Alligator mississippiensis: one gene and its partner. The protein of the gene in region 2 purifies or fractionates together with the protein of the main gene of each other region. This does not show direct contact. Links are inferred from orthologs where the notes say so. Each region holds a gene or a part of one and is shown on either strand. Other genes may lie near its edges. The genes, in order: PSME1 and PSMB9.

The links.
Region 1: the proteins of PSMB9 (region 2) and PSME1 purify together in Homo sapiens (affinity purification with mass spectrometry; 3 studies listed by BioGRID and IntAct, counting the BioPlex papers as one, with this or other methods). This does not show direct contact. The link is inferred for Alligator mississippiensis from reciprocal best matches to the Homo sapiens genes PSMB9 and PSME1.

Annotation. Positions count from the first base shown.
Region 1 is NC_081830.1:7,782,503-7,797,915, reverse strand, and holds the start of PSME1 (proteasome activator complex subunit 1), read right to left. Parts: upstream 7,969-15,413; 5' UTR 7,872-7,968; coding exon 7,833-7,871; intron 7,566-7,832; coding exon 7,533-7,565; intron 6,957-7,532; coding exon 6,894-6,956; intron 6,311-6,893; coding exon 6,221-6,310; intron 6,085-6,220; coding exon 6,030-6,084; intron 5,675-6,029; coding exon 5,577-5,674; intron 4,068-5,576; coding exon 3,999-4,067; intron 3,922-3,998; coding exon 3,854-3,921; intron 1-3,853. Other genes in the region: FITM1 (fat storage-inducing transmembrane protein 1), read right to left, coding at 9,195-9,798, 10,308-10,540; DCAF11 (DDB1- and CUL4-associated factor 11), read right to left, coding at 11,503-11,631, 11,772-11,878, 12,446-12,598, 12,989-13,142, 13,229-13,414, 13,813-13,870, 14,286-14,354. UniProt on the Homo sapiens protein: Implicated in immunoproteasome assembly and required for efficient antigen processing. The PA28 activator complex enhances the generation of class I binding peptides by altering the cleavage pattern of the proteasome.
Region 2 is NC_081834.1:63,913,764-63,929,557, forward strand, and holds PSMB9 (proteasome subunit beta type-9), read left to right. Parts: upstream 1-7,430; 5' UTR 7,431-7,489; coding exon 7,490-7,540; intron 7,541-8,031; coding exon 8,032-8,099; intron 8,100-9,462; coding exon 9,463-9,594; intron 9,595-9,685; coding exon 9,686-9,815; intron 9,816-10,318; coding exon 10,319-10,460; coding exon of another isoform or gene 10,461-10,507; intron 10,508-10,584; coding exon 10,585-10,712; 3' UTR 10,713-10,763; downstream 10,764-15,794. UniProt on the Homo sapiens protein: The proteasome is a multicatalytic proteinase complex which is characterized by its ability to cleave peptides with Arg, Phe, Tyr, Leu, and Glu adjacent to the leaving group at neutral or slightly basic pH.

The DNA of each region.
Region 1 (15,413 bases), on a different chromosome or scaffold from region 2:
CAAACAAAATAATCTGCAGACAGGCATAAGGCCAACACCTATCTATAGCCCTGAGTGGAAAACTGCAGTCCAAACAGCAACCTAGGGCAGTGGGAAGGGGATCAGAGTAGAAAGAACGGGGATTGTGAACAGAAATTGGTGCAGTCCTATTGCAACTGGCAGAGATTTTTCAGTGCAAAAATATATACCTACTAGCCAACTGCCCGTCAAGAATGACAGAGGAGTGGGGTGCAGGCGAGGACAGAGGCCTAGGCCTGTGCCTGGCCCTCTCCGCCCCCATTTTCAGGGCCAGGCACGCTCCCCCTTCCCACCCCACTCTGCCGTGGGGCTGGGCCTGCTTCTCCGCCTAGCCTGTATCCGCCTGCCTCCCATCCCCCTGAATAACATAGGGGGACACAGGCAGAAAGCCACCACCCAGCACCCCGTGCCGCAGCCACATCCAGGGAGCAGGGGGTAAGGCCAGCACTGCTGACCTCATCCCTGGCTCTGTCCACTCCGTTGCCACTGCCTCCTGGGAGCAGGGCAGGGGGGGGAGCTGTGCTGGGCTCGCCCCCCTGCTCCTTCTCTTCTGTCATCGTCGCCCGCCCTCCTGTCATGGCAGTGTCCAGGCCTGCTCTTCCCCCATGCCCCAGCAGGCCCAGGCCCATTCCCCACCTCCCTCATGCTGCCGCTGCAGGTCCAAACCTATTCCCCACCCCTTTGTGCCACCGGCCTCTGCCTCCTCCACGCAGCTGGCCTCAGCCCCCTACCCCATCCCCTCTTTCCCTGCTGTCAAGGCAGCACGGTGATGCCACCACCTGCAGGCCAAGCATTCTTGGAGCACTCTGATTGGCTGCCAAGACAGCCAATCAGAGTGCGAATGAAGCGTTAGGGACAGACAGACAGACTAAGGCTTTTATGATATTAGGATACCCGTGGGCGGGGCTGGAACGTTGAAGACTGGCACAGATTCCATGCTACGTCGTACGTGATGTGACATCCAACCCCCTGCCCAAAGCAGGATCATCCCTATCCAAACCATCTCATACACTCCATCATCTAAACTCTTCGTAAAACTACCATCAACCCTGACACAACACCAGATCTTACACCCGAACCTGTCCCAGGGAAAGCAGGGAGACCTCAGCAGCCAATGTCCTGCTGCTGTAAAATTCATTAATATCCACTCAAGAGATTCGCAGGTAGAGACCATGACACCTGCTACAAAGGAAGGCGACCTGCCCCCTCCTCTCCCCACCACCACCCGCCAAGCCTGTTCCAGTCTAAAGAGACCATCATCACTACTGTTTCTTAAGAGCAGAACTTTCCCATGCAAACATGAGCCTATTCCAAGACAAACACGAAGTGCCACATGCTGGGATATGGAACACAAGCACACCGGCTCTGCTGTGATCAGCAAAGGAATTCGGAGAAAGTTGCAAGGCCCAGAAATATCAGCCAAGTGCCAAGCCCACAAACAGCATCAATAATAACGGTACTAGTGATAGTGATGATATTGCTGTTATTGTGGCTGCTGTTGTTACTCATAATAAAATCTATAATTTATAGATTATATATCTATATTCCATAATCTTTTCTGAGGCAAATACAAACTGCAACAAACTGGGATTTGGAGCAAAAACAAATGCGACTCTTGCAATGAGGAAGAGGTTTCGCGGCAATTAAATCCACAGACAGTTGCAAGGCCCACAAATATCAGACCGGCGCTGAGCAAACAAACAGCTAATCACCATCACCACTGAATTGTAATAACGATATTATAATTATAATGATTATACATTAACATTATAGTTATACTATAGTAACTATACTCTAGCTAAATGTGAATAATGGCATATTATATCTATATTATAATACTAATAATATAATGCTACCTCTTATGATATCACAATAACTACATTATAATTGTATGTATCATTTAATAACAATGCCACGGTTATGTTATGTTATAACAACCATATAATAATTATGACTATATTAGCATTATTATTATATTGTTGTGTTTGTACACTACATTTGACCATTTTGTTACACATGCTCGTGCTCGCTTATGTACTTTGTGAGATGTTATCATAATGTAACTATCTTATAATAATTAAATATTTATGCTATTGTTATATTCTAACAGCTATGTGATAAATATAGTTAAGTATTATTATACAATATAAAAGCTATAATGATAATAGTAATAATATAGTAATAGCTTGTATTATAACAACTCTATTATAATTAGTGTTTGGTAATATATTATAATACCATATATTATTATCACAACTATATTCTAGTGATGATTATTACTTAATCATAATCATGGTGATGCTGAGGACTGTAATAATGCTCTTCTTGGGGTGGTGTTATTAATCACACCAGTCACAAATAGCATGTATTTTCCGTGCACAGCTGTGCCTCATTCAAGACAAACATGACTGGCAGTGATCCAGGGTTTGCAAGCAGCAAAACAAAAATTCAGTGCAAGGTGGCCCAATTTGCAGCTGACGAGATTATTCATAGTGGTAAAGACCAAGGTGGACCATGAGCAACTACGGAAGGAGCTGGCACGACTGAGCAAATGGGGAACTAAATGGTGGATGAAATTCAATGTAGATAAGCGATGCACATGGACAAAAATACCCCAAACTCTCCCTACACACTCTGATGGGCTCTGCCTTAGCTGTTACCACCCAGGAAAGATCTGGGAGTCACCGTGGACAGTTTGCCAAACAACTCTGTACTCAGCAGCTGTCAACGAGGCAAACGTTAGGGGTGATTAAAAAGAGAATCATCAACGAAACAGAAAGTACCTCAATGCCCCCTTAGAAATCTACGGTGCGTCCACACCTGCTATACTGTGCCCAGGTCTGGTCCCCAGGCCTCAGAGAGGATACGGAAGGACTGAAGAAGGTCCAGAGAAGGGCAATGGGGACGATCAGTGGTAGGGACAGGTTCCATATGAGAACAGACTAACGAGGCCAGGCCATTTTAGTTTAGCAAAGAGATGCTCAATAAGGACAGGAGCAGTTTACCGTATACTAAATGGTGAAGAGAAAGTCACGAAGAGTTTTATTCTAATGCACCAGAAAGAAAGCGTCCAGAAAACCCGCTCATGCAAACAGTCGTGCCATTGCAGTGCAAGGAAGGGCAAAAACCACGATGTGTACAAATGCCCCTAGGACTGCCTGTCTCTCACTAGGCAAGAACTGGGGGGTCACAACATGAAACTAGCAGGCAGTGAGTTTAAAACAAACACTAGGACATTCTTTTTTACCCAGTGCGGAATGAAAGAACGGAACAGGCTGCCACAGGATATGAGGGAAGCTGATGTTTTAGCCTGATTTGCAAAGGGATGGGACACATTCCTGGAGGAAAGGGGCATCGGTAGCTATTGAGCATAAGAGTGAGGGGCACAGCCTCTGAATCACAACATCCTAGGCTTTAAATGCTGTGAGTGAGAGAAGTAAATCGGGGGAAAAAATGCTGGTTGGATCCAGCTTGCTCTCCGTGTAATACAGGAGACGGGGCAAGCTGGACCTATGGTCTGACCCAGCAATGGCAGTTCTTATGTTCCTATAATTACCACGCACATGTGGGTAGACTAAAATTTATTGCATGATTCACCAGTGAAGTGCATGATATGTGTAACATGTGGCAAGGGCTTCATGAAATGCAACCGCTGCCCCCCTCCACCAGAACAAGCTCTGAGGTTGCAAAAAGCCATGGGACTAAACAGTCCCCAACAGAGCATTTCTGGGGTGCACTGGGTTGGACGGATGCTGGGGCCCCATGGGCTGCTGAAGGGGGAGTGGGGTGTGCTAGGGTGGGGTTGTTTGGGGGGGACCCCAGTGCAGGCGCTTACTTGGAGATGTGGGTCTGGAATCCCTCCAGCTTGGTGCGAGATGCCGTCATGAGCTCAAAGACTTTCTCCTGGGAGGGGAGGGGAGACGGGGTGAGCAGCTGGGCTGGGGGGCAGTGGGGGGTGTAGGGGCAGTGGGAGGGCTCACCTGCACAGCGACCCCAAAATTATTGCCATCCTCAATTCGGGGCACCTGGAGTTGAACCCACACGGAGACCTGTGGGGAGAGGGGGTTGCATGGTCTTGGATGCCTGGGGGGAGGGTGGGGGGGTGTATCCCGGATACCTTGGTTGCATGGTTGCGTATCCATGTCCTGGATGCTAGAGTTCTGTATATGTGTGTGTGTGTGTGTGTGTGTGTGTGTGTGTGTACACATATCCCACTGCCATGTGGTTGCTGTGCAATTGTATAGCTCAGTGTGGTCTCCAGGGTAGACACAGCAGTAGTGCTATGTATAGTTATAGCATGGTTGCAGGGTTGTGTAGCTGCAGTAGTGTGTTCTTGTGTGCTGTTGCATAGCTGTGTAGTTGCAGTATTGTACAGTTGGGCCACACTCACTAACCCCAATTCCTGGGGGCATTGCAGTGGCAGTGCAGTTGTGTAGATGTGGGGTTGTGATGCTGTATGCGTAGTGTGTGGTTATGTAGCAGTGTGGTACTCACCAGCCTTAGGCCCTCTATGGCACCCTGCGGTGGTGTTGGTGTGTGTGGTGTTGTATAGGGGTGTGTAGTTGTGTAGCAGTGTGACATTTGCCAACCCCAGATCCTCCCTGGTGCCTTACAGAGGTGGTGTAACACTGTGGTGTGTATGTAGCTGTATGACTGCAGTGTTGTGTTCAGTTGTATAGCAATGTAGAGGTGCATAGCTGTGTGGTTGTGTAGCAGTGTGCAGCTGTGTTGTGTGACTGTCTAGTAGTGTTTAGCAATGTGGTTGTGGTGGTTTTTAGTGGTGTTGTGAATCACTCACCAGTCCTAGCTCCCCTCAGTGTGCTGCAGTAGTGGTGCACTTGTGGTATTGTGTAGCAGCTCATGGTTGTGGTGGGTAGCAGTGTGCAGCTGTATATAAGTGTGCAAGCATGTAGTGGTGCACGGTATTGTCTTGTTGCAGAGCAGTGTGCAGTTGTGTAGTGGTGTGTAGCATTGTGTGGTTCTGTAGCGGTGTGTAAAGTTGTGTAATAGCCTCCAGTTGTGGAATGGTGTGCAGTGTGCAGCTGTGTTGTGGTGTACAGTGTTGTGTGGCTGCTGTGTTGTGCACCACTCATCAGCCCCAGCTCCTCCCTAGAGTGCTGCATGACAGCATGGCATATGGCTATGGTGTTGTGCAGCAGTGTGAGGTCATGGTGTGCAGTGGAGCATGGCTGCGTAGTGGTGTAGCATAGCAGTGCGGTATTGTGTGGTCGCATAACTGTACAGTGTGACCTACCACTCCCAGCTCTTCCCTGGCGCCCTGCCCTGGGGTGCATAGCTCTATGGTTGTGTAGCAGTGTGCAGTTGTGTTGCATGATTGTGTAGTGGTGTTCAGCCATGTGGTGACATAGTTGCGGTGGTCTTTAGTGGCAGTGTGGTGTGACGTGCATACAGCCATATGATAATGGCGTATGGCTGTGTGGTCTCATGTGGTGGTGGAGTTGCATGTCCAGCCCCAGCCCCCCACCCCGGGCACAGCAGTGGCGGTGCAGGTTGCAGTTATGCGGTGCAAGGGTTTGCATCACTGCCGTGTCACTCACCAGCCCCAGCTCCTCCTTGGCACGCTGCAACCGGGGGGTGACGCGCTGCACCAGGCCCAGCACCACGGCGTTGCTGCTCACTGGGCCGCACGGAGGCCCTGCCGGCACTGGGGTTATACCTGCTCTGTGGCCTCCCAGCCCCTCCAACACCACCCTGAGACCCCCATGCCCCCCCAGTGCCCCCCCCACCCCCCCAGCACCCACCCTGGGGTCCCCGTGACCACCCGGCCCTCCCCACACCACCCAGTGCCTGACACCCCCCAGCCCCTGTGGACCCTCTATATGCCCCCAGCCCCATAATGCCCCAACCAGGCCCTCCCACCTTTCAACAACCACCAGCCCCTTCCGACCCACGCAATTCCTACCCCCAGCCCCCCACAGCCTTCCAACCCCCCATGACCCCTTCACATTTTCCACAACCCCCATCCCCCTGATGGCCCCCCACAGCCCCACCTTTGTCATCATCGTCCTTCTTGTCATCCCCCTTCTCCTTCTCCTTCTTCTCCTTCTGTGGGGGGGGGAGATAAGAGACCCTCTCAGACCCTTGGGTTCTCCCTGCAGCCGCCACACAGCCTGGACCCCCCACCCCAGATATCCCTGTGTGCTGGGCAACGCACACCTCCCCAGCTCCCCCCAGCCCTCACCTGGCGCTGGGCGTCCCGTTCGGGGTCGGGCAGGGGGATGTCCAGCTCAGCCCGCAGTGCTCCAGGGTCTACAAGGTTTAGCACGGGGTCCTGGTGTCGGGTGGAGAGATCAGTGGGTGCCCTGAACCCTGACTCCACAGAGACCCCTTGCCCGATCCCCCCAGCTCAGCTCCTCCCTCCCTCAACTCCCAGATACCCCCAGCACCCCCCATGCCCCTCCCAGCCCCCACTCCCTCCTGCCACCAGACACAAGCCCCAACTCTCTACAGACACCCCAACCCCCCTCCCTGACCCCCCACACCTCCCAGCCCCCACTCAATCCCCAACACCCCTTGGCTCCCCAAAGCCTTCTTTAGTGCCCCCACACCCCTCCCTCCAGCCCCAGTCTCTTCAGGTCCCCTACACCTTCCCCCTGACTGCAACCCCCTCAGCACACTCCACAATCCTCAGCCCCCTCAAATACCTCAGGCCCCCCCCCTCCACCCCCTCAATCCCAACCCATCTCTTGTTCCCCCCACCACCATCCCATGCCCTGGGCCCCCCAGCAGGACCTGGACCCTCCAAATCCTCCAGGCCTGCAGTCTCTCCCTATTCCCTTAGCACACCCACCCTGCCCAGATGCCCCCGAGCCCCCCATTTCTAGCCTCCCCCATGTCCTGCGCCCCCAATCCACCTTGAGGAGAGCGTCCAACTCTGCGATCTGCTCTGGGAACCGACTCCCCACCATCTGCTCAGTCTGGGGTGGGGGAACAGGACGGAGCACCTGAGAACAGCTCGCAGCCTTTGCCCCAGCCCACCCATCCCGAGGGCACTGCTGAGGGAAGCTCGCAGGCCTTCCCCCCCCCCTTCCCCGAGGGCACTGCTAGAGGAAGCTCACAACCCCTGCCCCCACCCCCCTAAGGACGCTGTTGGAGGAAGCCTGCAGTCCCTACTGCCCCCCCCCCGAGGGCACTGCTGAGGGAAGCTCGCAGGCCCTCACCCCCCTGCTCCCCGAGGGCATTGCTGGGGGAAGCTCACAGCCCCTGCCCCCCCCATCCCGAGGGCACTGCTGGGGGAAGCTCACAGCCTCTGCCCCTCCACCCTGTGGGCACTGCCAGAGGAAGCTCACAGCCCCTGCCCACCCCCCGCGTCCTGAGGATACCATTGGGGGAAGCTCACAGCCACTGCTGCCCCGCCACACCCTGAGGGCACTGCTGGGGGAAGCTCACATCCCCTGCCCCACCATCCCAAGGGCAGTGTTGGGAGAAGCTTGCAGCCCCTGCCCCTCCCCCAGCCCCAAGGGCACTGCTAGGGGAAGCTCGCAGCATCTCACCTCAGCACACAGCTGGCTGCGGAAGGCATCCACCTGGGTAGAGCACAATGGGGGGGGGTCACCAGGGCCCCCCCAAAACTCCCCCCAGCCCAGCCTGTGCTGCCTTCGCCAGCAACAGCCCCTCCATCTCCAGCGGGGGGTCTGGGGGGCTCCCAGCCACTTCCCTCCCACCCCATCCCCACCACACCGCTGGGGGCCCACAGGCCCAGCCAGGCCCCAAATACCCTGGCTAGGCCTCAGCTACTCCAGCCAGGCCTCAGCCCGGCTAGGCCCCTGCCCTCCCCACCCGCCCCCCCTCACCTGGGCCTGGCTGGCGGGGGGCAGGCGGAGGGCGGCCATGGCCGGGGGGCACCGGGGGGGTGTGGGGCCAGTCCAGGCACAGGCGCGTGGTACCGCAGCAGTGAGCGTGACAAGTGAAATCGAAAGCAGCAGGCCGGGGATTTCCGGTCTTGGACGGCAGCCAAAGGCTGCAAACTTCCTTCAGCAGTGCCCTCAGGATGGGGTGGGGGGAGAGGGGGGGACTGTGAGCTTCCCCCAGCAGTGCTGGCAGTGGTGGTGGGGGAGGAGGGGTGGCAGGACTGCAAACTTTCCCCACCAGTGCCCTCAGGGTGGGGCGAGACAAGGGCTGTGAGCTTTCCCCAGCAGTGACCTCAGTGGGGGTGGGGGTTTCAGACTGGTCTCTGATGCCTGGGTTTTCTGCCTCTCCCCCTCCCAGAGCCCTGGGCCCCCTCTCCCATTGGTTCCCCCCCACCAGAAGCCCCTCCACTTCCCCCAGGCACCTGGGTGCCCCCCCGGCCCCACTTCAAACACCAGGCAGGCAACGCCAGACTCAGAGGCCACCTTTATTCGTGCCCCAGCACCTCAGTTCTCAGCCTGGGCGTCTGCTTGGGCACCTGGGGCTACACCCCACATCGCTGCTGGGGCAGACGGGGACCCTGCCCTTCTCCAGCTGGTGTCCCTGGCTCTCCTGAACGAGCCGGTTCCCATCCCACATCCAAAGGTGGGAACAAGCTGCACGCATGACAAAAGTAGTCTGGCGTCAATTGACCGGTGGTCTCCCAGACGCTTGGGTCCCTTCTCCACGCCTGTTGGCCCCAGAAGGTGCCGAGGACACATGGACCCCTCAGTCGTCTCCTAGCGATGGCCAGGGGCAGGCTGTCCCAGATGCCGCGGTTCCTCAGCCCAGACAAGTCCACACTCCAGGGCAGGGGGAGACGCCCCTGCACAAGACTCTCCAGCTGATTTCCCCTCTCCTGGATGCCTGGGTTCCTGACTGAGCTTAGGATGAGTCCATTGCCCATTGCTGTGCAGAGCTTCTCCAGGTGTTCACCAGGCCTGGCCCACCCCAGATGCCTGGGTTCCCACCTTCTCCAGATGTTCTCCAGAGGTGGCCTCCTCCCAGATGTTTGCATTTCCACACATTGCCCAGAGATGGCCCCACCCTCTCCTCCTCCCGAAAACCCAGATTCTCACCTCCCACCTTCTCCCAGACACCAAGGTTGGCATCACCCATCTTCTTCTCCAGCTGTTCTCTAGACACTGAGATTTCCCACCCCCTCCCATCTCTGCATGTACCGCAGAGGCCACCCCATGCACTCTTTCTACTGGATATCCAGGTCCCCCGCACCCCACCCCCCTCCCCACCCCACATGCCAGGATCCCTCAGGCGCACTCGGCGGCCAGGGGGAAGAGGCCAGTGCCAGGGCGGCCAGGGGACCAGCGGCAGCGGTACCAGCCACGGTACGCCAGGGCCCAGCAGAGGGTGGCAGTGGCAGTACCAGCAGCATGGGGGGCATAGGGCGGCTGCCACAGCAGCGTGGCCACCAGCAGGGCTGGCCACAGTAGCAGCAGTGCCACATTGAATAGGAAGAGGGCATGGAGCGCGGCCCCCGCCCGCAGCCCCCGAGCCAGGCAGCGCCCAAACACGCCTGCCTCCTCCAGCACCAGCAGTGGGCAGAAGGTGAGCAGGAAGGCAGGCGCCGAGGGGGCAAAGCCAGTCCAGCGGTGCCCGCCTGCGCTGCAGGCTGCCTTGGAGGGCAGCGCGTTCACCAACCGCCCACCAGGCACCGGGTCATAGCAGTGGCCCGTCAGGTCCTCGGCCAGGGCAAAGGCAGCGCGGGCGCCCACCCAGAACCCTGCGCCCACAGCCAGTCGGCACAGTGGGCGCAGCGCTGCACCCACCCGTCCTGCTGCGCCTACTGCCAGCGGCAGCAGCAGCCCCGCCACCAGCAGGCTGGTCCAGCCCCAGGCCGACGCTACCAGTTTCCTGTGGACAGGAGGAGGCAGAGGTGAGGGGGGCACCTAGGCTCTGTCACCCACCCCTGCTCCAGCGCCCTCCTGCACTCATCTCCCTCTACCCCCAAATGCCCCATGCCCTGGACCTGTCCACACAACCCCATCCCCGTCCATCCCTGTTCCCCCACCCCTTGAGATCTCAAAGCCCCCCCAGACCTCAAGCCCAGTCCCCAACACCCTACAGATCCTGCCCCCAGTAGCTCCTGCCCTCCCACTCACTCTGCCCTGAGCCCCAACCCCAAGTCCCACCTCAGATGTCCCCTCACGCAGTTCCCTCCCCTCCCTTCCCAGATACAGACTGCCGTCCCTCCCATGACCCTCAGAGCCCCCAGTTCCCCCCTATCCACCCAACCCAGCACCCAAACTCCACCCACCCCCATGAACCCCCACCGAGGATCCTCCCTTGCCATCTCAAGACCTCTAAAGCCCACTCCCCCCCTCCCTGCTCCCAGCCCAGAAGCCCCCTGCCAGGGGACTCACACATGGAAGAAGTTGCGGGGGTTGGCGAAGACGGCATGGGGGCTAACGTACAGCCGCAGCAGGGGCGACAGCAGCACCAGCAGCGCGAGCCCGGCATGATAGGCCCGGCGTGTTCCCGGCAGCACCAGCACCCAGGCGGCCTGCTCCCCAGCCAGCTGCACCAGCCCTGCACCCAGGCCCCCTGCCAGCCCCAGTGCCCGCCGCGCCAGCCCCCACAGCTCCCAGGCCCCCATGGCACCACACTGACGGGCACAGCCTGGCCTGGCCCAAGACAGCTGCGGGGCCTGGCCTAAAAGTGACAGGTGGCAGCTGCTGGCTGATCCCAGGGGCCTGTGAGGGGGTGCAGACAAGAAGGCTGGAGGGGGGCAAAGGGAATCTGGGGGGGTAAGTAGAGAGTATTATCCCCTGCAGACTGGGTCGGGGGAAGAGGGGCTTCCCCCCCAAATCAAGGGGCACAGAGACACGTCTAGAGAGGTTTATTCTCAACATAGACAGCAGGTGACACAGACAGCCCCCGTGCAGCACAGGGCAGAAGGGGGGGCACAGAGCCCCTCCAAGTCCCCCATGCCTGGCCCTTCCATGCACGGGGGACCCGCATGGGACTGAGAATATGGGAGACACCCCCACACACTTCCCAGCCTTTAAAAAACAAGGGGGCATCCCCCCACTAGCAGAGAATATACAGCCCCACTTCTCCATGGAGGGGGGGAAAACAGAAGCCCCCCCCCCAAAATACCAGCCCCCCAAATCAGAGAGGCAAGGCAAAGCCAGGGACTCACAAAAGACCCACCCGAACCCAGAGACCACCCCTCCCCCACAGCGGGGGGGGGGGGAACAGCTGACGGGAGTTCAGGATGTGGGAGGGGAGGGGAGGTCAAGGACGGGCAGAGGAGAGGACCTAGATCTGGCTCCCCTCCGCCTGCCCGGAGCCAGCCAGCGCCCTCCCCCCTCTGTCAGAACTAGCACTGTCAGGAGGGCAAAGCCCCCTGCCCCACTCCTAAGCCAGCATCCCCGCCACGGGCAGGGAGCCCTCACCTGCCAGCCCCGCACCACCCGCCTCTGCCCAGGAACAGCAAGGCCCTGGCTCCACAAAGGGGGAAGCCCCACCCAAGGGTCCCTGTCCCTAGTGAGGAGGGGGGGGGCTGGATTGCATCGCCAATCTCTCCTGTGGGGGGGGGGCCACGATTGAGGTGCACTATTGGCTGGAGGAGCGGGGCGTGGCCCGGGAGGGCTTGGGGGCCACGGGGGGGCTCCCCGGGTCCCTGAGGTCATCCTCGTAGTACTCAGCCTGGCGGTGCTCCCAGACACGCAGGCTCCCGTCCCACTGCAGGAAGAAGGGGTGGGGGGAATTAGAGCACCCCCTGCTGGACGCAACTGGAGAATGCCTCCCCCCTCTTCAGCATTGCCAGGCCATAGATCTGCACCCCACCCCTCCTCCCCCCTGCTGGATCCTGACCCACTCACCGAGCTGCTCACAATCTTCTCCTCATAGGGGTGCCAGCTGACGTCCCGCACGCAGGCCTTGTGATTGGTCAGCTTCTTGATGATGCGCCCTGTCAGGAGGCTGTAAACTGGGGGGGACCGCGTTGGAATAAATGATTACTTTCCCCCCCCGTTAGCTGTGCAGAATGGTATTTCCCAACCCCCCCCAACAGTGGTATGTGCCACTCCCTCCCTGTTGCCCCAAGCCCCCAATTGGAATGAAACTTCATAATGGAACTCCCCCCCCCCTCGCACTGGGAGCACAGGAACAGTTCGTCTGGGCCTGGCCCAATGGGAGGGCCATCCTGCCCATTGCCCCCCACCTCTGGACCCAGTGGTAGTCCAAAGCACTAGGACACAATTGAGTTTGGACACAATGGTACAGCCCAACCCTGCCCCCAGGACACAATGGTACTGCCTGCCCCATAGCCCCGCCCTTGCATCCTGAAGCCCCTCCCCTTTTACACTGGTTGCTGGGGGAGAAGCAAGGGCTCTGCCCTTACCTCATCATCAGGCAGGCACTGGCCCAGTTTACTTCATGGCCCCCTGGCTCCCAATTCCACCCCAATTTGGCCACGCCTCTGTCCCCCCCCACTGCCCCACCCATTTCTAGTTCTGCCCACATTCCAGTGTAGCCCCACCCCCAAGCAACTCACCCACCACCTTGCCCGTGGAGCAGCCGCTGTAAATGTATTGGCTGCCGGTGCTGTAGGGTGGGGAGAAGCGGCAGCGAATCAGGGTGTGCAGCACCCCGTGGCCCCTGTAGGTCATCAGGGAGCTGTCGCCCGGAAGCTTCCCCTTGCGCCAAGCTGCCGGAGACCAGCTGCATTAGAGCCTGCCCTGCAGAGGTGGGACTTCCTACCTGGGGAGGCAGGACTTCCCACTTTGACCCTCTTGGCAGGAGGCGGGACTTCCTGATTTGCCCACGGAATCTCCTCTTACGCTGCATCCTTCCTGCCCCCTTCTCCACCCTACCTGCACTCCACTTCCTGTCTCCACCACCCAACATCCACCTCTTGGACAACCTACTTCCTGTCCCGACTAATCCCGCAGCGACCTCTCTTCCTGTTTTTTGCCACACCCCCACCTGGTTTTCCATCCTGTCCTCCCCAGCCATTCCACATCCTATTCTCCAACTCAGGCTAACTGTCCTCCAACAAGTAGGCTCATCTTCCACTTCCTGTCCCCCTGCTCCTGACCTCTTTTGGGCACTTGCTGCCACCGGTAGTCCCAGTTCTGCTGGGTGACGGCTTGGCGGGATGCCTCCATGGCCTCACGCCCCGAGAACCTCCGGATGTCCCACAGCTTGATGGTCTGGTCTTTGGAGTTGGAGATCAGGTACCGGGCATCCCCCTAGGCAAAGGAGATCACGCTGGTCCTGTACCAACCCCTGCTTCTCCCATTTTTATCTAGCACCCCGCCGCCCCCGCAGGTCTCACCTTGCTGTCGATGAAGGTGATGCCATCCTGGTGCCCAGCCAACATGCCCACAGGCTTAGGGTCGTCCTCTCGCATAGTGCGCCGATCCCACACTTTACAGATGGCATCGTCACCCCCCGAAAAGAGGATGTGGGAGCTGGCGTCCGCAAAGGCCACGGCATTCACATCATCTTCATGTGACTCGATCTGGGGGGGAAGTGGGGGCATTGTGGGTATTCTCCCAGAATCTTCTCTGCTCTCACCTGAAGGCACCCATTTCCCAGAATGCCAAGAGGTCAAAGGCAATTTACCTCCTAGAATCCTCTCTACTTTAGCCTGAGAGCACCTCTTGTATCTACTATGCCAAAGGAGGAGGCACATCGCCCACCCCAAATCCTTTCCGCTCTTGTCCTAGGGCTTGGTACTCCAAGTGACATCCCTAAATCCTCTGTCCTCACCTACTAATTTGGTATCATGGGTATCCCCTTCCTAGAGCCCTCTGTGTTCCAGCTGGAGGGCACCCACTGCCACTACCTGCTGGGCACTGCGGGTAACCCACCTCTCCCAGAATCCTCTCTGCCCTTGCCACCACCTGGGCTATATACCTTGAGAGTCCGCCTGTTCTGCTCACGGTCGAAGACGTACACACAACCGTCATTGGCTCTGGAGAGGAAGATGGACTCGTCAGGAAGGGGACTGGAGATATTTGGCCGGAGCTATCCCAGAATCCTCTCTGCTCTCAGCAGAGATGCATCTAGGTTTCCATGACATTGTGGGAGAGAACCAGACCACATTTCCTGTTTCTGCTCACTTTGTGGTTGCAAGAACCAGACAGCACTGCCTTGTGTGGGCTACACTATGTCAGAATCCTCTCTGCTCTCAGCCATGTTGCCTCAAGAGGACCATGGCACATGGCATTGTAGGTAAGAACCAAGTGGCACTGTGTGGTGCTGGAACATGGAGTCCCCAGATCCCCTAGTGTTATCTGAGAAGTTTGGGTTTCACTGCATCATGGCTAGGAGCCGTCTGGCACCAGGCAGGACTGGACCGACTCCAACCGGGTGAGATGGTCACTTACCCCCCGAGGACCTCCCGTCCATCTGAGGATACCGTGAGAGAGAAGACAGCAAATCGTCTCTCATCCGGCCTGAGGGAGAGGAACAATTAGACATAGCACCTCCTCAACCCCCCTGACCAAGATGCCCGCCCATCTGGTTACCTCAGACCAAGATGGTGACCCCCCCCCCCCCCCCCAAGTCACTTCAGCCCAAGACGGTTACCCCCTCAAGGACCGCCCTAGTCACCTCAGCCCAAGACGGCCACCCCCTCAAGGACCGCCCTAGTCACCTCAGCCCAAGACGGCCACCCCCTCAAGGACCGCCCTAGTCACCTCAGCCCAAGATGGCCACCCCCCCTCAGCCCAATTCTGTTCCCTCCCAGACCCCCAGTCACCTCAGCCCAAGATGTCCGTCCCCTCCTATTCCCACGATACCTCAGCCCAAGAAGGCCATTCCCACCAGCCTTCTCCCAGTTAGAATCATAGAAAGTTAGGGTTGGAAGGTACCTCAGGTCACATCTAGCCCAACTCCCTGCTCAAAGTAGGATCGTCCCCAAAAAACTCCAAGGATGAAGATTCCACAACCTCTCTGGGTAGTCTGTTCCAGTCTTTTACTATAGTCTTTGTGAGAAAATTTTTCCCCAAAATCTAACCTCAACTTTCCTTGCTGCAACTGGAGCCCATTGCTCCTTGTTCTGTCATCTGCCACCACTGAGAACAGTCCAGCTGCATCCTCTTTGAAGGCTGCTGCCCACCCTGTAGGTGGTTGAAGGCTGCTATTAAATCCCTCCCCTCAGTCTTCTCTTTTCCAGATTAAATAAGCCCAGTTCCTCTAGCCTCTCCTCATAAGTCATGTCCCCCAGTCCCTGAGCCATTTTTGTTGCCCTCCACTGGACTTTCTCCAATGTGTGTGCATCCTTTCTGCAGTGGAGGGGCCAAAACTGGACACAGGACTCCAGATGTGGCCTCACCAGCACCCAGGAGAGGGGAAGAATCACTCCTACTAATGCAATGCAGGCCAGGATGCCGTTAACCTTCTTGGCTACAAGGGTACACTGCTGGCTCATATTCAGCTTATCGTCCACTGTAACCCCCAGGTCCTTTTCTGCAGAGCTGCTGCCCAGCCAGTCAGTCCCCAGACTATATCAG
Region 2 (15,794 bases):
CCTCGGTAGCTCTTTACACTCTGCAGTACCTCCTGTCGGCAGTGTCGAAATCTGGCCTGGGCCTGCCCAAGTTCACTATGCAGGGCTATGTGGACAGGAGCTCCTTGTGGGGTATGACAGCAAGGCCCAGCATATGCAAGCAGGCCCTGGATGCAAGCAGCCTCGCCCAAGCTCTGGGAAAACAAGAACTGTGTCCACAAGCTGCTGCAGGGCTGCTTCTGTGGCGAGGTCCACAGCCTCCTGCACCTCTACAGTGAGAGTCAGAGAGAGCTGGCCAGGTCCAGGACCAGAAGTGGGGAGAGCCTGCCATTCACCCGGAGCCTTGGTGGCACCCTGGAGTGGCCTGTGCCTCCCTTGCTTTGAGTCTATCCAAAGCAACAGCCAGCCCAAATCAGAGCCACGGCCTGTCCCATCCTGGCCCAGAGCAGGTCCCTTGGTTGGGGGGGACACCCCAGATCAGATGGTCCTTAGGGCTGAGTGCCCGGAGCACCGTGTAGCTGGGTCTGCACCAGCCCCTCTCCTCCTAGGGGGAGAGGGGCAGAGTCAGGGGTGACAGGTGCCCCCTGTGTCTGGAGGGGCACAATTTGTGGGTGGGCCCAGGGGTGGGCCAAAAGCCCCATATCCACTCCTACACTTCTGTGCTGTGGCTTAGTGTCCCCCCTCCCCCCCAACATGCCACCAGCCTGCACAACCAAAAAACTGTCCCATCCTGAGCAGTATTGGGGGCCAATCTCGGGGGGGGAGGGGGAATGCCCCCCTCTCATGCTCCTCTCACCAGTTGCCTGTGGAGAGTGGAAGTGTCCATTGCCATCCCAGGCAGGTCCAGGGACGGGGATACAACCAAGGCACTGCCAGGAGCAAAGCTAGTGCAGCACTGACCATCAGTGGGAGGTGTGTTGGGGAGAGCTATCTCCTCCCCCTCAGTGCAGGGAGTGACCCAGGCTGGAGCCGAAGCCGGCTCAGTACCTGCCCGATGTGCTGTTCTCAAAAGACCAAGAAGTTAAGCTTACAGAACAATAAAGTTTGCTTATTCAGAGAGCCCTCTTAGCCTGCCCCTCTGCTGGTCCAATACGGTTCCCTCCTCTCTCTGCTGGGCTAGTTTAATAACATATACTTAGGCAGAAAAGATTATTTGGGTAAATCCAATATCTTTTCTTAGACCAACTCAAATAGTTGGAAAAATTCTTTGCAAGCTTTTGGGCACAAACACCATTTGACAGGCTGAGGAAGCATCTGCAGTTGCTGTGTAACCTTCCTGGATGGAGTGATAAAGAATCAAGGAAGAGCACAGACCAACTGCAGAGACTTCCTCAGCCTAACTAAGGGTACTTGTATCCGAAAGTTTGCAAAGAAGAATTTTTCCAACTATTTGAGTTGGTCTAATGAAAGACATCAGATCTACCCAAAGAGCCTTGTCTGCCAATGTCCTTAGACCAACATGGCTACAACCTGTACCGCTGCTAACTTATACATAACACTCTTAAAAGTATCCACCCGAAAGCTTGCTTAAAAGTATCCATGCATCTTCTCCCTTTACATGTAAGGTGTCTCCGTATAATACTAACATTGGAAGTTTAGTTCAACCCATAGTTAAAGCACATTTTAACAGGTCTCTGTCAGTCTTGGTGTTGGCTTTTTAGCTCTAAGTGATTTTCTCAAATTCTCTGCATTCTCAATCCTTATTGGTTCAATTCTCTAGTTTCCTTGTTCAGATGTCTCTACTTTATTTGTCATTTTTCAATCTTCTTTGTAGTTTCTTCTTGCTTGCATGTTAACTCTGTTGTTAGCTCTGTTTCCTTTGGTGAATCTCATGATGCTGCTTCTGATGCTGCTTCTATTTTCCCCTTTATAAGCTGCAAGTGTCCTTCTGTTCCTTCTTAACACCTGTCCTTCTAGTGTGACTACTTTGTAGGATCTGGGACCACTTGATGGGAAACTAGTGCTTTTTGTTTCCACATTTGTCCAGCTGAAATAAGCACCATATCTTTGTTGTGCGCTTGTGGTAACTCCCTGGAACCCCTGTCACAGTACTGTTTTTGTTTGGGTTTGATGATTTTTTTAAATGTTTTCATGTTTTGTTTTTCACTCTGATGAGCACCATCCACAAGATTTGGCAGGCTGGTTTTGAGTTTCTTGTTAAACAACATCTGTGATGGGGACAATCCATATTTCATGGGCATTGCCCTGTAATTTAAGAGTGACAGGTAAACATCGGTGTGTGAATCTGTAGCTTTTTTCAATGATTTCTTCAGTATTTGTACTTCATTTTCCACCAGACCATCGGATCATGGGTATTTAGGACTTCAAGTGTTGTGACAGAATCCATATTTGTTTGCAACTCTTTAAAATCAAGACAATTGAACTGAGGTCTGTTGTCTGTTCTCACAACTTGTAGAATCCCACAAAAACATGTGATGTGAGTTATGACATGGGCTGCTGCTGTGCTTTCAAGCAATGCAATTTCAGAAGAATGAGAAGAATACTCCACCACTAATACATATTTTTTTCCCGCATGCATGAATAAGTCAATACCCACTTGATACCATGGAGTTACAGGCTCCTCCAAGACCATCATGGGCTCTTTTATTTGTGCTGATCTGTACTTTAGGCACATTGTACAAACCTTTATAGCATCTTTTATGTCATTATTTATGTTGGGCCAACATAAAGCACCCCTTGCTCTCCTTTTGCATTTTTCAGTGCCTAGATGCCCCTCATGTATTCTGTTTAACATGTCTTTCTTTAGCACTACTGGAACAATGAGTTGTGAGCCTTTGAACAAATTGCCAATACTGAGAGCTGTTCCTTGAACTGAGAGTAGGGGCTAGGTATATGTTTTCCAGGCTAAGCAGCACAAATTACTGTTATCACTCTTTGCAATGTGGTGTCCTGAGCAGTAGCTTCTGCAATTAGTGCCCACATGTTATCAGTGATAGGAATCACTCTTTTAATTAGATTAACATGTACTATGTCTGAGTCTGGCATTTTCCATTGTATCATATGCTCTGGACAACGTAACTGCAACTGACCATTGTTTCTTCAAGCAATTATCTTTGGCCCATGCTTGCCTGCTTCATAGTGATGTCCTCCTTTCTATATTGTTTATGTGTTGCCTTAGGGTTTTGTGGTCTTGTAATCCTGCCTTGTTCAGTGTGTTCTGTTTTTCCCCCAGCTTCTGCAGCCTGGCACTTGTTATCTCAGCCACTAGGCACATTCTAACTTACTTTCCCAAATTAAGCTCAGGACCCTCTAGCAGTATTTTCCTGAGGCTTGTATCCTTTGTACCCTATACTATTTGGTCTCTGATCATGGACTCTTTTAGATCTACAAAGTTGCATGTCTAGCTCAGCAGTCTAAGGTCACTGACAAATTCCTCTGTTGTCTCACATTCTTTCTGCTGTCTCATGTGGAAATGGTACTGTTCACAGGTTTCATTGTGTTTGGGTATGTGTAACAGAGAACCTGGGACTCTCTGTTCCTTTAAGAGGAAAAGCAGCCCAGCCAGGGAGCTCTGCAGGCTAGGCAGGGCACCACAGTTGCAGGTTGCCAGGGCAACAAGCTAATGGGTAATTACTATCAGGTACCTTTAGTTGGTCAGCTGACCGTAAGCAGGCAGGGCCCAGGGAACATATAAGCCTAAGGCTGGGGCTGGCAGGGAAGTCTATCTCTGGCTGCCACAAGGGGAGGAGCTCCTGTCCAGGGAAACCTGGGATACTGGGTTAGTCAAGGTTTATACTCTCATAGGGGCAGAAGGTTGCTACAGGTTGTTATTTATGTTATAGCCCAGGGGCTTGTGTTTATGTTGTGTTTATACGGTGGACCGGGATGAGGCTATAATGCGAGGAGGAGGCCTCATTGGCGCCAGTGAGGGCACAGCCACAGAGGGGCCGGAGAGCCCAGCACCAGTGAGGGCACAGCCACAGAGGGGCCAGGGGGCTGGCAGACAGGGGCAGGGGTCAGGTGACTGGAAAGGACAAACAAAGCTAGTGCCTCAAAGCCAGATCTGGTTCAGTGGGTCTAGGCTAGAAGGCCTAGCTAGAGAAAAGGGGCAGAGGCTGAGGAGGCTGAAGCCCCAACAGGGGGCAACATACCTGTAACACCTGCAAGGCATGGGGCATGGTAAAAGGGAGGTTTTGGAGCCATGCAATTAGCCCTCAAGGCTTTGGGTACAGTTGACTGCAGTGGCCCAGCCAAAGGCCTGTGACTGTAGAGGTCCAGCCAGGAACCTGTTACCAGTGGGACTGAGGCCTTGCAAAGGGCCATGGGCAGCTTCCCTATTTAGTTATATAACGTCAAGGTGCGGTGGGCGAGATAGAAGGGCACCCTAGGGGCGGAGCAGGGCACAGTCGCGGAGCCACCAAAGGACATCATGGCCACCCCTGGGATCCTGACCTGTTACAATATACAGTATTGCTCAAACTTTTTTGTTCATTTGCCATAGCTTTTCTGTTCTTCTGACAGTTGTAGGCTCTTATAAAGAGACAGAACTTCTGGGCCTGCTATATTAAAAAAAAAAAAAATAGCTACCTTGAGAAGATCTTGCTTCTCTGCAGCTCCACTGGCCATCCTATGTATGGTGAAGCTCTGCTTAAATTTCTTCCCGTTTTCTGCTGCATCGCTGGACAGCTTTATCTCCCCTGGAAGTCTAAGAAGGTTCATTTTTCTATCTTTCTTCACACCTCCCTCCTGGTACCATATGTTGTTCTCCAAAGACCAAGGAGTTAAACTTATACAACAATAAAGCCTGTTTATTCAGAGAGCCCTGGTTTCCTCCTCTCTCTGCTGGGCAAGTGTAACAACTTGTACATAACACTTTTAAAGGTATCTACACACCCCAACCTGCTACATCTCCCATGTCTCATTCCCACAGCTGAACGAAGCCGGGAGGAACCTGCACCACTTCCCAAGGGGCCACAGAAAAGGAGAGAGAGCAGCACAGAGCAAGTGCTGCAGCCCATTCTCTCCTTCCAAGCATTTCACTTTAGGCATGATTTTGCAAAATCAAAGTGCCTTGCTCTGAGACAGCAAATAGCTCATGTGTGACATTAAAGATGCTTGGCTGTGGGTGGGCAGGGTGGAGGCAGGGGGAGTTGTGGGCATTGCTTGTTGTGGGTTCTGAACATTGCTTGTTTGTAGCAAAAGAAAAAAAAAGGCAGAGGTAAGGTGCTCTTGGAGAGGAGTCTTAGAGCAGGGAAATGAGCAGGACTTGCACCAAATCAGTGCCCTGGAGCCCCCTTCTCTCTGTTTGCTGCTCTGGTTTGCCCAGCGCACAGCGCCTGCTCTCTGCATCCTGGGAGTGACACCAGGACAAGGCTGTGTCCACAGGGAGACGTGTATCAGTAGCACCATCAGGGCATGGGCCAAACCAGGATAAAGGGAGCTGTTTTTATTATAACTGATGCCCAGGTGGCTGAGCACCCCCTGATGTTCTGGATGCCAGACTCCACCGGGGCATCAACTGCTTGGTGCTGGGTGTGCAGAGGAGGCCTCAGCTGGGCAGGGGCAGCCCCAGATGCTCTGACATTTTGCACTGATCTCAGGTCCGATGGACACAACCTTCTTTCCTCCTTTCCCTTTTCCTTTCCTTCTGTTTGTGGGTGGGGAGGGGTGTGGTGTGGTAGGGCTGGGTGGAGAAAGTTTAAGATTGTAAAATCTTCTTTAGAGAATAAGCATGCACATCTGGCAGCTTGGGGCTATGTCAGTATATGCACTCTTGGTTTTCTCTCTCCCCATCCTGTTTGGAGGCTTCTCTCTGGGGCAGGGCTGGGGCTGGGGCTGGACACAGAGTAGGGCTGGGGGCAGTAGGAGGTGCTGGGGACTGGAGCTCTCTCTAGGCAGCACACCTGTCCCACCTCATCCCACCCTGGTGAGGCCTGTTCTGAGCCTCCTGCTGGCTGCAGCCCAGCCACGTCCTGCACCCAGACTGGACACATGCTCCAAGGTCCCTGAGTGCCAGGAAAATGCCAGTCTGCTGGCAGTGGTGTTTGTGTGAAGACAGGACCCCTCCTGCTGCTGCAGCTGTCCTGGACCCCTGGGTTGTATTCTAGTGGTGGGACGCAGCAGGTCAGGGAGCTTGGAATAGGGGCGCTGGGAGGCAGGACACCTGGCTTCTCTCCCAGCTCTGAGCACAACGTGGGGGTCTGGTGGGTTACAGCAGGGCCAGGGGGGGCATTCCCAGTGCAGATAGACCTACCAGACCTGGGCCAGAATAGAGATCGACCCCAACAGCAACCACAACCACACCTGCTATGTGGAGCACGTGAGCCTGGACGTTGGATCCCTGAGAGTGCCCTGGACAAGCGTGAGTGACCCTGCACAGGGGGGAGGGGGCCGAGGCTTGAGTGGCGGGAGAGACTGACTGACCCCTGTGGCTTTCACCTTTACATCGAAGCCAACGCGGCTGCTTTTATTTCTTATTTCATGCCTCACAGTCGCTGCCGAGATGCAGCTTCTCTGCTGGAAAAGAAGGCAAACTTAAAAAATGAGTGACGAATAAGGGTGTAGGTTGTAGTAGTTGTGTTGGTCTAAGGACACCGGCAGACAAGGTTCTTCGGATGAATCTAATGTCTTTTATTAGACCAACTCAAATAGTTGGGAAAAACATTTCTTACCAACGTTTTGGGTTTAAAAACCCCTCCACCAGGCTGAGGAAGCCTCTGCAGCTGGTGTGCGCTCTTCTGGGATGGAGTGAATTCATCATCCCATCCTCAGCCTGGCAAAGGGTTTCTAAACTGAAAGCTTGCTAAGAATTGCTGTCCCAAATATTTAAGTTGGTCTAATAAAAGAGATCAGATTCACCCAAAGAGCCTGGTCTGCCAAGTGAAGAATAGGGCACGTGGGAAAGTTCGTGTTTGAGTTGTAAGTACCGCTGCTAGGCACAGAAGATAAAATGTCTCCATTTACAATACCCGACCCCACGTTTGTCTTTTAAATGGCATGTGTCTCGCTCCCGTTTGTCCTGGGGTGGGGTGGGGGGGGGGAGTTGAGTGGGGCCCCGGGCACTGCGGGGGACGTGGCGGGCACGGCGGGGCGCTGGGCACCTTCTGCCGCAGCGGGGGCAGGGCTCGGTCCCTTCTCCCAGCCCCACCCCTGTGGCAGAGCCCGAGGGCAGCCCGCGGGGCCGGGAGGGTCGTGTCGTGTCGTGTCGTGTCGTGTTGTGTGGAGCCGGGCAGCGGGCGGGCCGCCGGCCTGGGCCAGTCTCCGCTGGGGCTCGTGTCCCCGGAGCCCGCGGCCGGCCGACGGCGCGGCCCGGAGCAGCTAGACGGCCCGCGCGGGGAAGGAGGGCCGCGGCCCCGAGCCCACGCGTGTCCCGCCCCGTCCCCACCCCCCGCCGCGTGGAGCCTCCCCGCGTCACGGGGTGTGGGGCAGGGCCAAGCCCGCAGGTTGCTCGCTCCGGGGGCGGGGCGGGGCGGGGCGGGGCGGGGCGGGCGGTGCGCGGCGCTGTCCAGCCAGCGCTAGCTCGGCTCTGCCGGCCCGGCCCGGCCGCACCATGGCCGGCTGCGGGGCGCCGTGCGGGGCGGGCGCGGAGGTCCGCACCGGGGTGAGTAGGGGCCGGGATGGGCCGGGGGGGGGGGCGGGGGGGTGCTGCTTCACCTGCCAGGGGAGCCCCCTCCCCCCCTCCCCACGGGGCACCCCCCCCCCGGGAGCTGCGGGCGCGGGGCGCTGCGGGGGACGCGGGTCTGTCGGTCCGTCCCGTCCCGTCCCGTCGCGTCCCGCCCCAGCTCCCCGCGCGGCCCCGCCGCCGTCGCTTTCGCTTTCCCTTCCCGGGCGGCAGCGGGGGGGCCGGGGGCCTCGGCCCGCGCGGCCCGGGCCCGGGCGCTGTCCAGCACCAGCCGCCCGCGGCCCCCCGCCCCCCGCGGCCCGGCCCGGCCCCTGGGCAGCGCGTGGGGGGGGCGGGGCGGGACATGCCCACGGGGCCACCCCATCCCACCGCACCCCGCTCCCCTCCCCTCCCCTCCCCTCCCCGGCCGGGCCGGGCCGGGCCGGGCAGAGCCCCCTGCCCTGACCCCGGCCCGGCCCATCCTTCCCCAGACGACCATCATGGCGGTGGAGTTCGCCGGCGGGGTCGTGGTGGGCTCCGACTCCCGCGTGTCGGCCGGGTAAGTGCCCTGCCGGGCATGGCCGGGGCAGTGGGACGGGGGGACAGGGGAGGGCGGGGGGTGCTGCGGTGCCAACACCCTGGTGCCCGCAGGCTGCAGGGCCTGGCAGGGCGCCCCATGTGCAGTCTGGGGCTGCCCAGGCGTGTTGGCGCCCATGGCAGGCAGCAGCACCCCGGCAGTGCGCGGGGCCGAGTGCGTCCCGCCCGGCGCAGCGGGAGCGCTGCCGTCCACTCGGGCACGCGGCACGGCCGGGCTCAGACACGACGGGCGCTCCGGGGAAGCGGGCTGCGGTGTCGGTCTGGGCAAGGCGGAGCACAGGCCGGGCGCAGGACACGGGGCGCGGGGCACAGGGCGCGGGCTGGAGTCAGCCTCGTCCTGGATTGCAGCCCGGGAAAGCGGGACTCGGATTTCGTGCTGCCGAGACGGCTCTCCGTGGAAGGGCCACGGGCCGCGGGGCACCGAGGGGAGCTGGTGGGCATGGATGAGCCCTGGCCCCAGAGGGCGCAGGCAGGGCGAGGGGCTTGAGGCCCTGCTCTCCGGCCACAGCCTGTCCGCAGCGGTCCGTCCCCATGCCGGGGGGCTGGAGGGCGTGAGGCCAATGGCAGGGGTGGTGGGGCCCCTCAGGCAGCCATTTTGTATCCTGTCCCCCGGAGACCTCCACAAAATGGCTGCTGGTGCCAGAGCAGGACCATGGACAAGATGGAGCAGGGGCTGTAGCCTGATCTCCAGAGCCAGGGAGGGCCAGGCCGTCACCATGGGCTATATGCTAGATGGCCCCCTCCACCCTGTCACCTGCCTTCTGCAGGGGGTGGGAGAAAGCTGTCTGTGACGTGCGGCTCAGGGGCACCGGGCTGGTCATTCCTCCCACCAATGCCACCTTGGTCGGGGCCGATCCCGCCGGCTGCTGAGCTCACCCGCCTCCTCCCAGGGGCGGAATAGCCCCAGCACTGCTGTGCTCCTCCCCCGGTCCCACCCCACGGGGTGCAAGAATGGTAGTTTCTCAAGTTTTGGGGGTTGGGGGGGGGGAGTGTCCTGCTTCCAGGTGTCATTCAGGGGAGAGCAAGGACCAAGTCCTGGGAGCAGGTGCTTATATTTTTCCCCCACCTAAGGGAAATACAAAAGAAAGGCAGTTCCTGAATTTTGTTTCAGAGCTGGGAACTGGGCATTTCCTTTGGAGGGAGGGAGGGTCTGGGGGACAGACTGCGCCAGAGAAGGGGGCATTGGGATGCGCTCTAGGAAAGGTGGGTGCCAAGGTTTTGGGGGGTGAGGACAGGCTCTGAGTGTTATTACAGAGCTCATCTGGGGGCAGGCCAGGCTGGGGCTGGGGGCGTTTGCACTCATGTTTGCCCGGGTCTCTCCCCAGGGAGGCTGTGGTGAACCGGGTCTTTGACAAGCTGGCTCCACTACACAAGCGCATCTACTGTGCCCTCTCCGGCTCCGCGGCCGACGCTCAGGCCATCGCTGACATGGTGCATTACCACCTGGAGCTGCACAGGTAGGGGTGGGCAGAGCAGGGCTGGACCCAGCAGGATGGGATCCATGTACCCCTGTTGCCCCATTCCAGCTCTGGTGCCTTCCCCCCGCAGCATGGACATGGATGATCCACCTCTGGTCCTGGCAGCTGCCACCCTGGTGAGGGGCATCAGCTACAAGTACAAAGAAGAGCTCTCAGCCCATCTCATGGTAGCCGGTTGGGACCACAGGAAGGGAGGGCAGGTGAGGCTGGGACAGGGCTGAGGGGGTGCGTGGAGGAGTCTCGGTGCAGCTCAGACCCCCAGATGGGATTGGGCCCATGCGTGACCAGAAGCTGCGCAGACTGGGATCAGGGCCTCTGTTGTGCGCACATGGTCCCTCCCCAGTTCTTTGCAGTTCTGCAGAGCAGCAAAATAGAGGGGATGGTGAGAGACCTGAGCCCAGAGAGGGGCAAGGCTAAGCCCTGGGTCAGCCAGCAGGGCTGGGCACAGACTCCCTCCCTGCTGACACATCCATGATCCATCCCCTCCCCCCCAACATCGCTCTCCCAGCGCCCCACACCTGGGCAGCAGCTGGCAGCTGGAAGCAAGACCTCAAGGGCTGGGAGGCGGATCCAAGACACCTGCCAGAGCTGGGCCCAGGCACTCGGCATGTCGGGCACAAGGGTAGCTGTGACTGTGGCTGAGTCCCTGATGCTGTGCTACTGGCTGCAGATAGACTGGAGTCACCTCTCACTTCTCCCACAGGTGTACGGCACGCTGGGGGGCATGCTGACCCGCCAGCCCTTTGCCATCGGGGGCTCTGGCAGCACCTACATCTATGGCTATGTGGATGCTGCCTACAAGCCAGGGATGAAGCTTGAGGAGTGTCAGCAGTTCACCAAGAACGGTACCTGCTCTGGCCACGGGTTACTGTGGCCTGGCTCAGGGTGTGGGGTAAGTGAAGAGGCAGGAGTCCTCCTCCTCCAAGGGGGTGGTTAACTGACCCTTCATTTCCCTCCCTCTCCCCCCAGCCATAGCCCTGGCCATGAGCCGGGACGGCTCCAGTGGGGGGGTCATCTATCTCGTGACCATCACCAAGGCAGGCGCGGAGGAGCAGGTGTTCCTGGGCGACGACATCCCCAAGTTCTACGACGAGTGACCTCTGTCCCGCGCTGCCTGGCACTCCCAGCAATAAAACTTGGAAAGAGGAGCAGAGCCGCATGTGCCCATCTGTGCTCAGACTCCAGGGCTGGGCCTGGCTGGCAGGAATCAGCCCTGAGCAAGGAGATGTTAGCAGAAGGGATTCATAGCCTGGTGCCCTCGAGCCCTGCACTATGGACAGCTGCCTCTTAGCCCACCCTGTAGCAGGCCTGGCCCAGGCATGGGGTGATGGGCCGGAGGGGTGATACAGCATTTAGCCTGTGGTGATGGCCCGGCCCTCCCTTGGCCTGGACACCAGGCTGCAGCACCTGCTCCATCTTGTCCATGGTCCCGCCCTGGTGCAGCTATTTTGTGCCCTGCAGCCTTCACGGGATAGAGCACAAATTGACCACCTGAGCGGACCCTTCCTCACCACCACCACTACTGCTATTGGGCTCATACTCCCCAGTCCCCCTGGCATGGGGATGAGTTGCTGGGGAGAGGCCGTGGGGCCATGACTGGAAAGCAGGGCCTCAACCCCCTTGCGCCATCCACCCCCTCCAAGGAACAGGGCTCAGCAGTGCCTGCCCACTCCCCAGTGTGCCCCATGGAGCACAGCCCCTGGCACCGGGACAAGGGTTACACGACAGCTATTGGGCAGCTTGCTCCTGTCCATGGCTCAGAGATAGGGGGTCTGTGATTAACACTGAATTAACACTCTGTTTGCACCAATGCCTGGCCCAGTGGGGTACAAGCAGGGAAGAGGCTGGGTCCCCCCGCTGCCATGGACAGGCTCGCAGTGCTGGGTCCCATCACCTGGTCAGGGCCTTTTCCTCTGGGCCAGTAGTCACCTCTGGCAGGTCCTGCTGAGGCAGCAGCTCCCTTTGCCACCCCGGGCAGTGCTTTCCCTCCTCTCTCAGGGTTTCTGGGAAGTGGCAGAGTCCCTGACTGGCCACGCCTATTTTCCTGGTATTTCCAGTGCAGGCACATGGTCACAGGGTGACTGAGCCCCTGGGCTGGCACAGGCTCCAGCAGGCATCACCTGTCCCAACACAGGCTGGCACCAGAGCAGGAGGGAGGGGTCCCTACATAACCTGGGTGGGTGGGACACCCAACAGAAGCCCCCACAGCCCAGGGGGTTGGGTTAGGGTAGTGAAAAGCATGGACCTACAGGAGTGGAGGTAGGACAAAGGACCATCACTTGCACTTAGACCTGGGGTTGGGGCTAGGGCTAGGGCCAGGCTTAGGGTTCAGGTTAAAGCTAGAACAAAATATGGCCCACAAGCCAGATCTGTCCCACAGAGGGATTTTAACCAGTCCATGGCAGGGGGTAGCCTGGGTCATGGGGGGCGGCCTGGGCCTTGGTGTGTGCAGTCAGCCCTGCTACCCCCAGGTGCACAGTGGGCTGGGGCAATGTGGCGGCTGGACCTGCTTCCCAGCAGCCCTGGTGGCAGTGGCTCCTTCCAGCTGCCACCGCGTGACTTGGCTGTGCCCCCGGGCTCCTTGGCCTGTCTCGTCTGACCCGCACCCAGCGCAGGGGGTGGGACCTGGGTGGGCAGGGCGTGCAGGATGGGGCTGTGTGCAGGCAGGGTGCAGTGTTCAGGAGCGGGATGGGTGGGTAAGGCCAGGATCACGGGGTGGGATCATGAAGCAGCGACAGCATAAGGCTGTGACCGGGGCCAGGGCACAGACATGATTCATTGCCCACATGCCTCTGCGACAGGCACCGGGTCTATGTGCAGGGCCATAGGGGGAACAGATCATGACTGCCCCATGCTGCCATCACCCTACGATCCCAAGGTCTCCACTGAGACTGGCCAGCCCCATGCGGGCATAGCAGGCCAGGTGGGTGGGATGTGGCCTCTTAGGGAGTGTTGGTGAGCTGTTGCTTGGGACAGGGCTGCTGATCCAGCCCATTACAGCTCTCCAAAACTCCTTCAGTGCCCCGTGGGCCCAAATAATTGCCCACCCCCGGCTTAGGCTGAGGGACTTGCTGCCTGTGCCTGAGGGCTTAGCCACCGTGCACCCTGCCCCAGCCCTGCTGTGTAACCCCTCGCAACCCCCTTCCCCCACAGCTCCTGCCCCAGTGGGGGTTGTGGGAACATGGGGCTGGGTCTCCGTGGGGAAAGGTGAGAGGCAGGGGCCTGGCGGAGCCTGCCTGGTCCATATTACCCCCTCCCTGCCCCCCACCTGGCACCCACTGCCTTCACCTGCCCCCTGACTCTGGCCCCCCACCCAAACTACCACTGAACCTGCTAAACACCCCCCCGACTCCTGTCCTCCTGGGGTTGCTGCCTCCCACACCTCTTTTGGGACCCCCTCCCTTTGCCCCCTGCCCCCTTGGCACTGCCTCTCACACAAGCCTGCCCCCTCAACAGCTGCCTCATGGGACAGGCAGGAGACAGCTCCCCCGCCTTGAGAAGAGGGGAGCAAAAGGGGGTTAATGCCCCCTGGCCCCACTGACCTGCCTGGGTGATTTGGGGGCTGCCCTGGTGTCTCCAGGCCCCCAGGGCTGCTCCCTACACTACTGCTCTCTGGGTGCCAGTGACACCCAGAAATGTGCCCACCCCGAGCAAGGTCTGTGCACGGGGAGCTGTGCGCACCCCATCGGGCACCAGGCCCTGAGAGCTTTCCGCCTGCCCAGACGGAGGAGGAGAAACATGCACGGGCTGGGAGCCAGGTTCCCATCTCACTGGGGAGGGGAGTGGGGGCTGGGGCCTAAAGCAGGGAACTGATGATGAGTCTCTGCCGCTGACTCACCGCGTGCCCCAGGGACATGCCCTTTGCTCCCCCCACCTCAGTTTCCCCCTCTGGGGCCAGGATGCAGCTCTTCCTGCCTCTCCCCATCCCAGAACCAGTGCTGGACCAGCTCTCCCAGCTCCCACAGCCCTGCTAGCAGCCCCCAGCCCTGGGACAGCCACTCCCCCCAACCCCAGTGCACAGTCCCTACCCCAGCCCTGCTCCCCCAGGGGAGTTTCCACTGGAAGTCCCTGCCTGCCCCAGCCCTGCTGCCCTGCTCCCCCTGGGGGAGTTTCTACTGGAAATCCCCGGGCTGGGAGCCACCACCTTGTGCTTTTGCTTTCACAGCTGGGCTTTGGGGGGCAGAGTTGCATTCCCCCCACCCCCACGCCTCCAGGGGCTGGGGCACACAGAGGGGCCCTTTGACCTCTCGCCTGCCTCCTCCCGGAGCCTCTAAATGTGTTGGGGGCAGGGACACCCCCAGGTGGGGCAGTGTGGGGGCACGCAGGGAGCCAGGGGGCCTGGGTGCGTGAGCTCTGCCCATGCTCCCCGCATTAGGGACAGAAGCCAGGACAGGCAACCTCGGCTTACCTCTCTCGGACCTGGGGGAGACCCCAGGAGGCCCCCGCTCTAACCACTACTAGATCTGACTCCTCTCCCCTACTAGGGAAAGGACCAGGAGCCCGGCACTAACCCCAGCAGCTACTCGCCCTCGGGAACCCTGGTGCCCGAGGCCCGGGTGCCCTCTGCCGGCTGCAGCCGTCCTCGCTGGCAGGATCTCAGGTGATTTCCGAGAAGTCACCCAGGCATGAGAGCGGTCATGAGACAAATGAGCCATTTGTACAGGCACCAGGCCAAGGCCCAGAGCCCACAGCTGCTTCCCTGCCCACAGAAACGATAACCAACTGCCTTTTATTAGGGAAACCTCCCAACGGAAGGCTCTTGGCCCATTCGCACATAGGCAGGGGCACAGTTGATCCCTGGGCTACTGGATCCCAGTGGATGGGGCAGGGGGCAACAGGGGTGGATGGACCCTTAGGCAGAGGGGGCTTGGCTAGGCTGGGCCCGGGGGGGGGGGGGGAAGGGGGTTGGGAGAGCTGTGTGCAGATGGGAGCAAAATACAGGGGGCTCCTGCCCTCTTCATGTCTGTGGAGGGTGGAAGGACATGGTTGCAGGAGGGAAACTGAGGCACAGGATATTCTGAGGCCATGCCCAGGTCCCTGGCCCAGGTAAGAGGCCTGGTGGGATAGGTACCCTTGCCATGCCAGCTGGCTTCATGCAGGTGTCGGGCTTTTCTCTCTGGCTTTAGGAGAAAGCTTCACTGTTTTGTGCACCAGTTGTGTCTGTGTCCACACACTTAGGGCTAGCAACACACATGCACATATGCACATGCAAACACAGGCGGATATGCACATAAACACATGCCCACACACATGTACACACACACAGATGTGCACAGAGGTATGCATACATGTGTACACATGCACAGGTGCACACATATGCACATACAGATGCATGCACACACACACACATGCATACACAGGTACACACATACACTTCAGATGCTGACCCTGGTCCACGCAGCTCCAACACACAGCACAAGTGACAGGGGTCCCAGGCACACTCATGGTGCACACAGCCATCGTGGGGGGTGCTGGAGTGGCCCATCAAGTCCTGGCCCAGCAGCTCCCCAGTTTATGCAAGGCATGCTATATGCCATGCCCCCTCCCAGCCCCTCACCCCTATAGCATCTTGTGGATACCCTCCAGCCCCCCCTGCATCTTGTTCCAGCCTACCACCGACCATGTGAATAGCAGTCCTCCTGCTGCTATCCCACAATGCATTATTTCACAGCTGGCACGGCCTGCTCCAGGTCCCTCTGGGATGGAGCTGAGGGCTTGGAAGCACAGGAACACCCAGCTGGTCCTCAGCCTCCCCCCGACACTGTCTGCTGCCCCCAGCTGCCCCAGTGCCCTAGGGTCCCCTTTGCCCTGTTGGACAAGGCGCCTCCTGACCCCACGGTGGGCCCGAGTGTGAGGGCAGGGGTATCGAGCAGGAACCACATAGGGCAGCATGTGCACAGGCCGCTCTGTGGGTAGCCAAGCCTCCGGGCTAGACAGCAAGGAACTGATGCAGAGACACACAGCTCAGTCTTCTGCTATTAGCCCTTCTATACAGTGTTCCTCCCTTGGGAGTCAACATGGGGTGCATTGCATTAGCACAATCCCTGGTCAGCAGCTGCAGTCCCCTCCCAGGCACCTTTCATTAGAGAAGCAGAGATGCTCAAGGAAGCATTTCCAGCTGCCTTGTTCAACAGCCATTAATAGATACATCATGCATGAATTCATCCAATCGACCCCAG